Linked DNA regions of Oryctolagus cuniculus. The main gene of each other region encodes a partner of the protein of the gene in region 2 in a complex. Links are inferred from orthologs where the notes say so. Each region holds a gene or a part of one and is shown on either strand. Other genes may lie near its edges. The genes, in order: SOCS6 and KIT.

Region 1 (3,899 bases), on a different chromosome or scaffold from region 2:
ATAAATTACCCATTAAACATGAATAACAATTTCACTCTCAATAAAATATGAAACATAACCCATTGCTATTTCTCCTTTAACACCTGACAATAATCTTCATCAATTCAGCCACATAAGAAATTTTAAGACATACTAGTATTAGAAATCTGCCCTTTCTAAAGGGCATCACAGATCTAAGTGCCACTTCTAGAACTGGAAGAGGCCAGGGATGAGGGCAGAGAACTAAAATCCACTGCTCTTCCTTTAAAGGATGCAAAAAAAAATAAAGAAAACAGCAGAAGGTGATCTCCGAAGCCCACCTTTCCTAAGTAACAGAAAGACACGTGCACATCCACTAGCCAGCCTATGTATTATAAATAAGTCAGGGTATCTGACCTCACTCTCTCAACAGAAGTATGTGTATGTCATCCCGTTTCCCAGGATTCCCTATTTGTATGAGAGAGAACAGTAATTGCTTCAAATTCAGAAATGGATATAACTTTTCTCCCTTTCTCAGAGAATATGAGCATTATGACTTTTACACAAGACTACCTCTACCAGCAAAACAAAAGATGCCATCACCAAGTTCCCTTAAGACTAGTCACAGCGGATACCGAGTAGGGTCTTCTCTGAGGAGTGGATTACACGAGGCAGTCCTATGAAGACACAGGTGCCTGCTGTTCCAACAGAAAGAACACCCTTTCAGTTCTGAAGCGCGACCGCAGACACAGGCTGAGGCTAAGCGAAATGACGCCACGCGGAATCCAGTCAGGGCAGCAGAGCTCTTCCGCCCAGCATTGGCACCCAAATCCCTTCCCTGCCACTCCCTGCCGGTGGCCTGCCAAGAGAGGAGGGTCAGGTGGCAGCCTGAGGGTGCGCCCCTGGGTGGGAGGCAGTGTCCAAGGCCTACCTGTCTCCCACAACAAAACGGGAGCAGGAGGACACTTGCTACCAATTGAGAGGGTATTCAATTGAGAGGTGTCCTACCAATTGAGAGGGTATTCAGAAAGGTAATACAGGCAAAAAGAGAAAGCAGAGAGTCCTACAAGAGGAGCAGGCTCAGGTGCGTGACCTGCCTGGTGGGTCCCAGGCCACAAAGAGGAAGGCACTTGCCAACAGCAAGACTCCTCATGGAACCGCCTGTCCAGGTGCCAGCATCCTCCAAGGCGACGCACGCAGACAGATGAGAGAAGGTGCTGGAACCAAAGGGTTAATTAAGGCGGCCCATTTTGTTTATAGCAGGCCAGGACCCGGAACCCTCCCATGCAGGCCTGAGGAGAAACCAGAAAGCCCAGGGAAGGACCACAAGCCTACTTTTCTGGAGTTTTGTAGTCAACAACGCCATTCGCGCGTTTAAGCGGCACGGACTCTGCACTGCACTAAACAGTCCGTGTAAGATCCATTCATTCAAGCAAGTGGATTCCAGGAGTTCACGTTGCGGGAGCTGTGGGCGACGTGGGAGAAGTCCAGACGAAGTGCCGCGAGCATGTCAGCCAGCTCACCCTGCAGCAAACACAAGTTGACGGAGGTTCTTCATGCAACAGCATCGTTATGCCACGCAGCGCGGCGAACCGGGGCAGCCGGCAGCACCGACCCGGCGCGGCCGCCGGGCTCTGCGGCGCACCCCGGGCCCTTCCTTCCCCAGAGCGCGGGTCTCACCTCCCACGGCGCACAATGACCGCACGCGTCCCAAGTTTGGGCGCCAGGCCCCGCGCCCGGGGGCGTCCACGGCGGGGCTCCCTCCGCAGTGCCCGAGCACCCGAAGTTGCCAACTCGCGGGGCAGGCCCGTGCCGCTGCCCGCAGCCGGCCACTCACGGCCCGCAGGCACCGGCCGCCACTCCCAACACGGCCCGGTGCCCTCCGCGGCCCCGGCCGAGCCCTGCGGGCGCGGGCCGCGGTTCCCGGGTCGCCGCCCCGGGCGCGCCCCCGCGCGGGCGGCCTCCCCGCGCCGCCGAGCCCCGAGCCCGGCAGGGGTGGCCCGCGCGGGGACCGAGGCGGGGCCGCCGAGTCGCCTAGGCCCCGGCCGCCGCCGCCGCCGCCGCGCAGGCCTCGCCGGGCCCCGGGCCTCTTCCCGGCGAGTTGCGGGCAACAAAGGCGGCGGCCGGGGCCCGGCGCGCCGAGGCCCAGGGGTGGGTCGGGAGGCGCAGCCCGGCGGCCGCGCAGGCCTCGGCCCTGCGCCCCGACCGCCGCCTCCCGGCCTCGCCCGCGGGCCCGCCGACCCGGCCCCTCTCTGCAGCCCCGCGCCCGGCGGCCTCCCCGGCGCAGCGCCGCGTCGGATCCGCCCCCCGCGCCCCAGGGAGCAGACGGACCCCGCGGCCGGAGTCCGGGGCTGCGGGAGGGAGCCCCCGACCCTGCCTTCCCCCACCTCCCGGGGCTCCGCAGACTCTCACCCGGCGGCGGCCCGGCTCCGCTTCCTCGCCCAGCGCCGGCGAGACTGCTCGCTCGTCCCCTGCTCCGGCAACTCCTCCTCCCGCCGGCTTCCTCCTCCTGCTGCTGCTGCTGGAGCGGCGCGCGCCGCAGCGCCTCGGCCCGGACGCGGAGCGGGTGCGGAGGAGCAGACGGGCCGCCCCGCGCCCACGACTCGGGCCCGCGGCGCAGGCGGGGCCTCCGGGCTCGCGGGGCGGGGCGGCCGCGGGGTGGGCGGGGCGGCCGCGGGGTGGGCGGGGCGCGCGGCCGCGGGGTGGGCGGGGCGCGCGGCCGCGAGCGGGCTGGCGGCGGGGGCGGCCCGCTGGGCGCCCCGCACGGGCCGTGTCCGCGTGCGCCCCGCAGCCCCGTGCGTGGCCCCGGCGAACGCCGCGCGGAAGCGGGCCTGGGCCGCCGGCCTGAGGGGGCGAGCGAGGACAGCCGTGCACGCGCCCCGCGCAGCCACAAGTGGAGCCGCTCGTCCCGCACCTCCCGTGGCTCAGTCAGGGAAACTGCTTTACAAAGTAATATTTCGAGCCGTCCGCTTTCGCGAGTGGGCCTACAGGGACTGAGGGTCCTCTGTGCCCGGACTCCCGGGTGGTGTGAAGTAAGGTCGGGTGTTCACGCCCCCCCCCACCCCCGTGAGTGCAGAATGGTGCTATGTGCTTTTTGTGCGTGAGAATCTACAAGAAAATGGGATTAGAAACAATTGTCAGTACCTTCAGAAGGTGGGTGTGGGAGAGAGGGTATTACTGAGATCTAGCTTAAGAAGGTGCACTTGTCAGAGTTGGTTCTTCAATAGTGTGAAGCTTTTTAAAAGAAAAATTGAAGGTATAAAGAAATAAGGCTAGGAAAACAAAGTCTTCAAAGTTGTTAAGGTGTGAACTTGTACCAGAATTACATCCCCCCTAAAGCTGTGCATTTATAAAAAGTTCAAATCATTGAGTTTAACTTCTAAAAGTGTTTGATATGCAACACTAACTTAAACACTGAGTCAACACAAAATCGGGATTAACAACAGGAAATTTTCTCCAGTGATTGGGTCGTTTTCTGTAACTGAATGGCATACACAAAGCTGATGTCATTTCTGGTGTGTTATTAACCTGATTAATGGCCATCGTCTTCATTTTTTCCGTGAATAATTAATAAGCTATCATTGTTAGCCTGATTTAATTGCAACGTCTAGTCATGGCAAAATGCAGATTCAAACAGAACTGTCAGAGAAGTTAGTGGTGATGGGGCACAGTCACTAGAAGAGAAACCAACGCAGACCCTGGGAGGCAGCAGTGACAGCTGAAGCACTTGGGTTCCTAACACCCAGGGGGAGACCTGGATTGAGTTCTAGGCTCCCAGCTTTGGCCCAGCCCCAGTCTGCTGCAGGCATCTGAAGAATGAGCCAGGCTGCCTTGGAAATATAAATACATAATTTGTAAAAATAAATGAAAGAAGCAAACTTTTCAATCTCATCATGTTGTGATGCCAGTGTTTCCTTGTTTGCTCTCAAAAAGACAATAAA
Region 2 (3,799 bases):
AGGAGACGCCGGGCTTCATGTCCATGTACTCGTTGGTGCTGTCGCTGCTGGGAGAGGGGACACACGTCAGGCCCGGGGACCGATTTTATCACCGAGTGGGGAAAACCTCCTTCTGTGTCCCGTCTAACGCCGCGGGTGTCCACGGGAAACAGGGCACAAAGACGCTGTCCCCCATGACGAGCGACACACAAAGAACAAGAGCTTCCAAGGCCTGTTCCGGGGGGAGGCAGAGGGCGCGAACACACGGCGTCTGTGGGAGAAACCCAGCGCGGTTCAGACGAACGCCAATAATCTGGGCGGTTTTCTGAACCATCTGGCCCTCTCGAATCGGCAACATTTGGCTGGAGACTCTTCAAGATTCCTAGTGCTTCCCGCTTCTCATTAGCATAGGGACACCATGACAACAGGCTCCCTCGGAGCGCCAGGCTTCCAGCCCCAGATGGGATGGCGCAGCGCGCAGCGCACCACGCAGGCCAGCAGCCCGGGGAGCGGGAGGGCAGGCGGGCGCGTCCCAGGGGTCGGGGGAGACGGGGCAAGTGACGGGTTCCACGCCCACGCACGGACTTCGTCAGGACCCCTCCCGTGCGTGGACGTGAAAACACTCCTGGCATCAAAGGAAGCCACCCTTTCCAATCCGCCTCCCACGGGCCTTGGCTGGGGTGCCCGCAGCAACGCCAGGCGGGGGTTTCAGAAAGAGGGCAAAGGGGCTCGGTGCTGCCACGCCAGGGCACAGACTCGGCGGAAACCGGTACTAGGGGGCCTGGGCAGTGTCTCGCTGCCTTGTTAAACCACCCGAGTCTGCAAGGATAAAACAAACCAACACCAAAACAAACAAACAAACAGAAAAACCAACCAACCACCTGGGGCTCTGGACTTGAGCCAAAGCTACGGAAAACGGCTTCAGGAGGGAGTGGCCTGTCAGCAGTGTCTACGGGGGCCATCGCATTCTGCTGTCGACCCAACCGTTTCTCCTTAAGGAAACCCAGAGCCCTTCACACGTCACTGGGACTCATGCTATCCAGGGTGCGAGAGGCAGGTGCAGCTTTCCAAGGCGCTGGGGCAGCTCCGCCTTTTTACCGCGTGGCAAGCTCCAGGTGGGGGCCAAGTACACAGGGCTGGCTTGAGGGCGATGCCGGGAAGTGGACGTGGGGGGGGGGGGGGGACGCCGGGAAGTGGACGTGGAGAGAGAGGCTCAGCGCTCCGTGCTGCTCTGTTGCAGGCCCAGGCTTTAGCACGGTCCCCTGGGAGCAGCGCCCCCTGTAGGCTCGGGGGCGTCAGGGCAAATGCACACAGGAACTGTGCTAGGAGAACCAGGCCTAGAACCCACACAGGCTCACGGAGCAAAGTTCAGGAAAAAAGGAGAGATGTATTTAAAAAAAAAAGAGCCGAACTCTTAAGGTGACCGTGCTTTGCATCTTTCGAACCATTTGAACTGTCTGAACCGGTCACCACGGTTAAATAATCTAATAATTTCGATTTGGCACCTCCGGGTGCCTCAGCGTGTTTTCTCAAGAATCAGCCTTGATTGCGACCGCTAAGCGCCCGTCCACAGCTGCGAGGCTGCAAGGCGGCCTTACCAGGACGGCTCCTTGGACTGCAGGAGGTTCTTGTAGAGGGCAGCTTCCCCGTGGTCCTCCTGCTTGGAGCAGATGAACGAATCCCGCTTTCTCCGCAGGAAGTTCAGGAGGTCCCCGTAGCAGCAGTACTCTGTAATGACCAGGGTGGGCCCTGCAAGCACAGGACAGGGGCTGAGGGAGAGTGGGCTGCGCCCCGGGTGACCCCGCCTCCGCCGGCACCCGCGGCACGTCACGGCAGCCACGGCCAGCTCCGGGCGGGGGCGGCGGTGGTCCCTGCACAATCATAGCAGCTGGGGGGGGGGGGCAAAGCCCAACAGGCAAGGCCCTCTTTCCCCTGCCCAGGCGAGCTCAGCGCTTGGGGCCCAGGGTCCCCGGATGTACGTGTACAGGGAGGCTCCTGCCCTCATGGGGCAGCCGGCAGGGCAGAGCGGGACTGGCCACCTGGAGCGAGCCACACGCTGACCACCGCCGCTGGCAGAGCACTGGGTGCCCCGAACGCCTCCAGCTGTGGTCCTCTCGTGGCAGGCAGCTAACTAGTGTGGGCGGATGCAGCTCACCCACGACTCCTGACACCTGCAGGGCCTGGGTGGACGTCACTGCAGGCTTCTCCACACCTGTGGGGGCAGCTAGACCCCAGGGCCTGCTGCAGACTGCCTGGATGGGACCCTCCACGGGGCTGCTGACTCTGCAGAAGTGACTCGGCATCGGAGAACTGGGAGAGCAGGGAGCGCGGGGCCCGTTCAAAATGTGGGTGTCCACAGCAATATTAGCCCCGATGACCAAACACGGCCCAGCAACGGGCAAGGCTCCAGGCCTCCCAGAGCCTTCCCTCGGCTCACCAGGACACAGTCCAGATGTTCGTGCCGGGGCCGCGTGGCACTGGCATCCCCGACTGGAGTCCCGGCTGCCCTGTTTCCCATCCAGCTCCCTGCTATGGCCTGGCAAGACAGCGGATGGTGGCCCGAGTGCCTGGGCCCCTGCACCCATGTGGGAGACCCGGCTGAAGCGCCTGGCTCCGGCCTGGCCCAGCCCAGGCCGTGGTGGCCATCTGGGGAGTGAACCAGCAGACGGAACATCTCTCTCTTTCTCTTTCACATAAATCAATCTTAAAAAGAAATTTCTTTAGCACCAAAATGACCTCATCGTCCGGCTGTCCTTCCCACACCCTTCTTGGAGCGGGGTGACTGCCCTGGGTCCTGGGCTACACGCCCCAGGGCAGCCTCGGCCGGCGCGGAGCAGGAACACGCCGCGAGCAGCCTCTATGCGGGCCGCCTGACCCTCCTGCTGCGGGGCGAGGCGGGCGGGCGCACGGCGCGGCTTTACCTCCCACGGTGCAGGCTCCCAGGAGGTTCACGATGTTCATGTGATTCCCCAGGTAGCTCAGCACCTTGAGCTCGGACATGAGGGCTTCCCGCTCCGTCAGGTGGGCGCTCGCTGGAACGAAAAACGCCTGCTTGCGGCCAGGCCCACGGCTGGCGGCCCCCGGAGCCCAGCACACGCGGGGACTTACGTTTCAGCATCTTCACGGCGACGGTCATGGCCGCGTCCGACTTGATCAGCCCGTAGGCCGTGGCCTCCACCACCTTCCCGAAGGCGCCGGCGCCCAGGGTCTTCCCTGCGAGAGGAACAGGACGGATGGGGACAGGGTCAGTGGTGGGGGCGGTGGCGGGCAGGGCTGCACATGGACGTGGCACCGCTGCGCCAGCCACAGCAGCCACCCGAGTTCCCTAAAGTCGCCGTCAGGTGCACGCGGACGGCTGGCGCGGAAAGCCCCCCGGCGCCCACTGACCAAAGCTCAGCCGACTCCTGGGAAACTCCCACTTGTGGTCGTAGGGAAGCTGCGTCGGGTCGATGTACACGTAGCTGTTGCCATTGATCTCCTCCACCACCTTCCACTGCACCTCGTACATGGGCTTCTGCGGGGACCCGGGCCCGTAGGTGAGCGGCTGGCCGCTGCCGCGCCCCCCCCCCCCCCCCCCCGCTGCCGCCACGCCACGCCCCGCCACGCCACGCCCCCGCGCCCCGCTCCACCCCACCCCACCCCCACCACGCCGCGCCCCACCCCGCCCCGCCGCCACATCATGCCCCGCCCCGCCACGCCACGCCCCCGCCACGCCCCGCTCCACCCCGCCCCGGGCACGGACAGGCGGGCACTCACCTGCAGGTACTTGTAGGTGAGGACCATGACAATGATGCACATGACGCCGGCCGTCACCACGAAC

The links.
Region 1: the proteins of KIT (region 2) and SOCS6 are in contact, whole or in part, in a crystal structure (PDB 2VIF), measured with the Homo sapiens proteins. The link is inferred for Oryctolagus cuniculus from reciprocal best matches to the Homo sapiens genes KIT and SOCS6. Residues at the interface, in NP_000213.1 of Homo sapiens: Asn566, Asn567, Tyr568, Val569, Tyr570, Ile571, Asp572, Pro573, Thr574; in NP_004223.2 of Homo sapiens: Arg391, Glu395, Arg409, Asp410, Ser411, Ser412, Asp413, Ser419, Phe422, Thr428, Leu429, His430, Thr431, Arg432, Phe442, Tyr443, Glu444, Gln445, Val448, His460, Asp464, Ala469, Phe470, Cys471, Tyr472, Ser473, Arg474, Ser475, Arg476, Thr482.

Annotation. Positions count from the first base shown.
Region 1 is NC_091441.1:8,447,763-8,451,661, forward strand, and holds the start of SOCS6 (suppressor of cytokine signaling 6), read right to left. Parts: upstream 2,586-3,899; 5' UTR 2,371-2,585; intron 1,483-2,370; 5' UTR 1,294-1,482; intron 1-1,293. UniProt on the Homo sapiens protein: SOCS family proteins form part of a classical negative feedback system that regulates cytokine signal transduction.
Region 2 is NC_091439.1:109,592,996-109,596,794, forward strand, and holds part of KIT (mast/stem cell growth factor receptor Kit), read right to left. Parts: coding exon 3,736-3,799; intron 3,494-3,735; coding exon 3,367-3,493; intron 3,248-3,366; coding exon of another isoform or gene 3,239-3,247; intron 3,238-3,238; coding exon of another isoform or gene 3,193-3,237; coding exon 3,088-3,192; intron 3,012-3,087; coding exon 2,901-3,011; intron 1,729-2,900; coding exon 1,578-1,728; intron 48-1,577; coding exon of another isoform or gene 45-47; coding exon 1-44. UniProt on the Homo sapiens protein: Tyrosine-protein kinase that acts as a cell-surface receptor for the cytokine KITLG/SCF and plays an essential role in the regulation of cell survival and proliferation, hematopoiesis, stem cell maintenance, gametogenesis, mast cell development, migration and function, and in melanogenesis.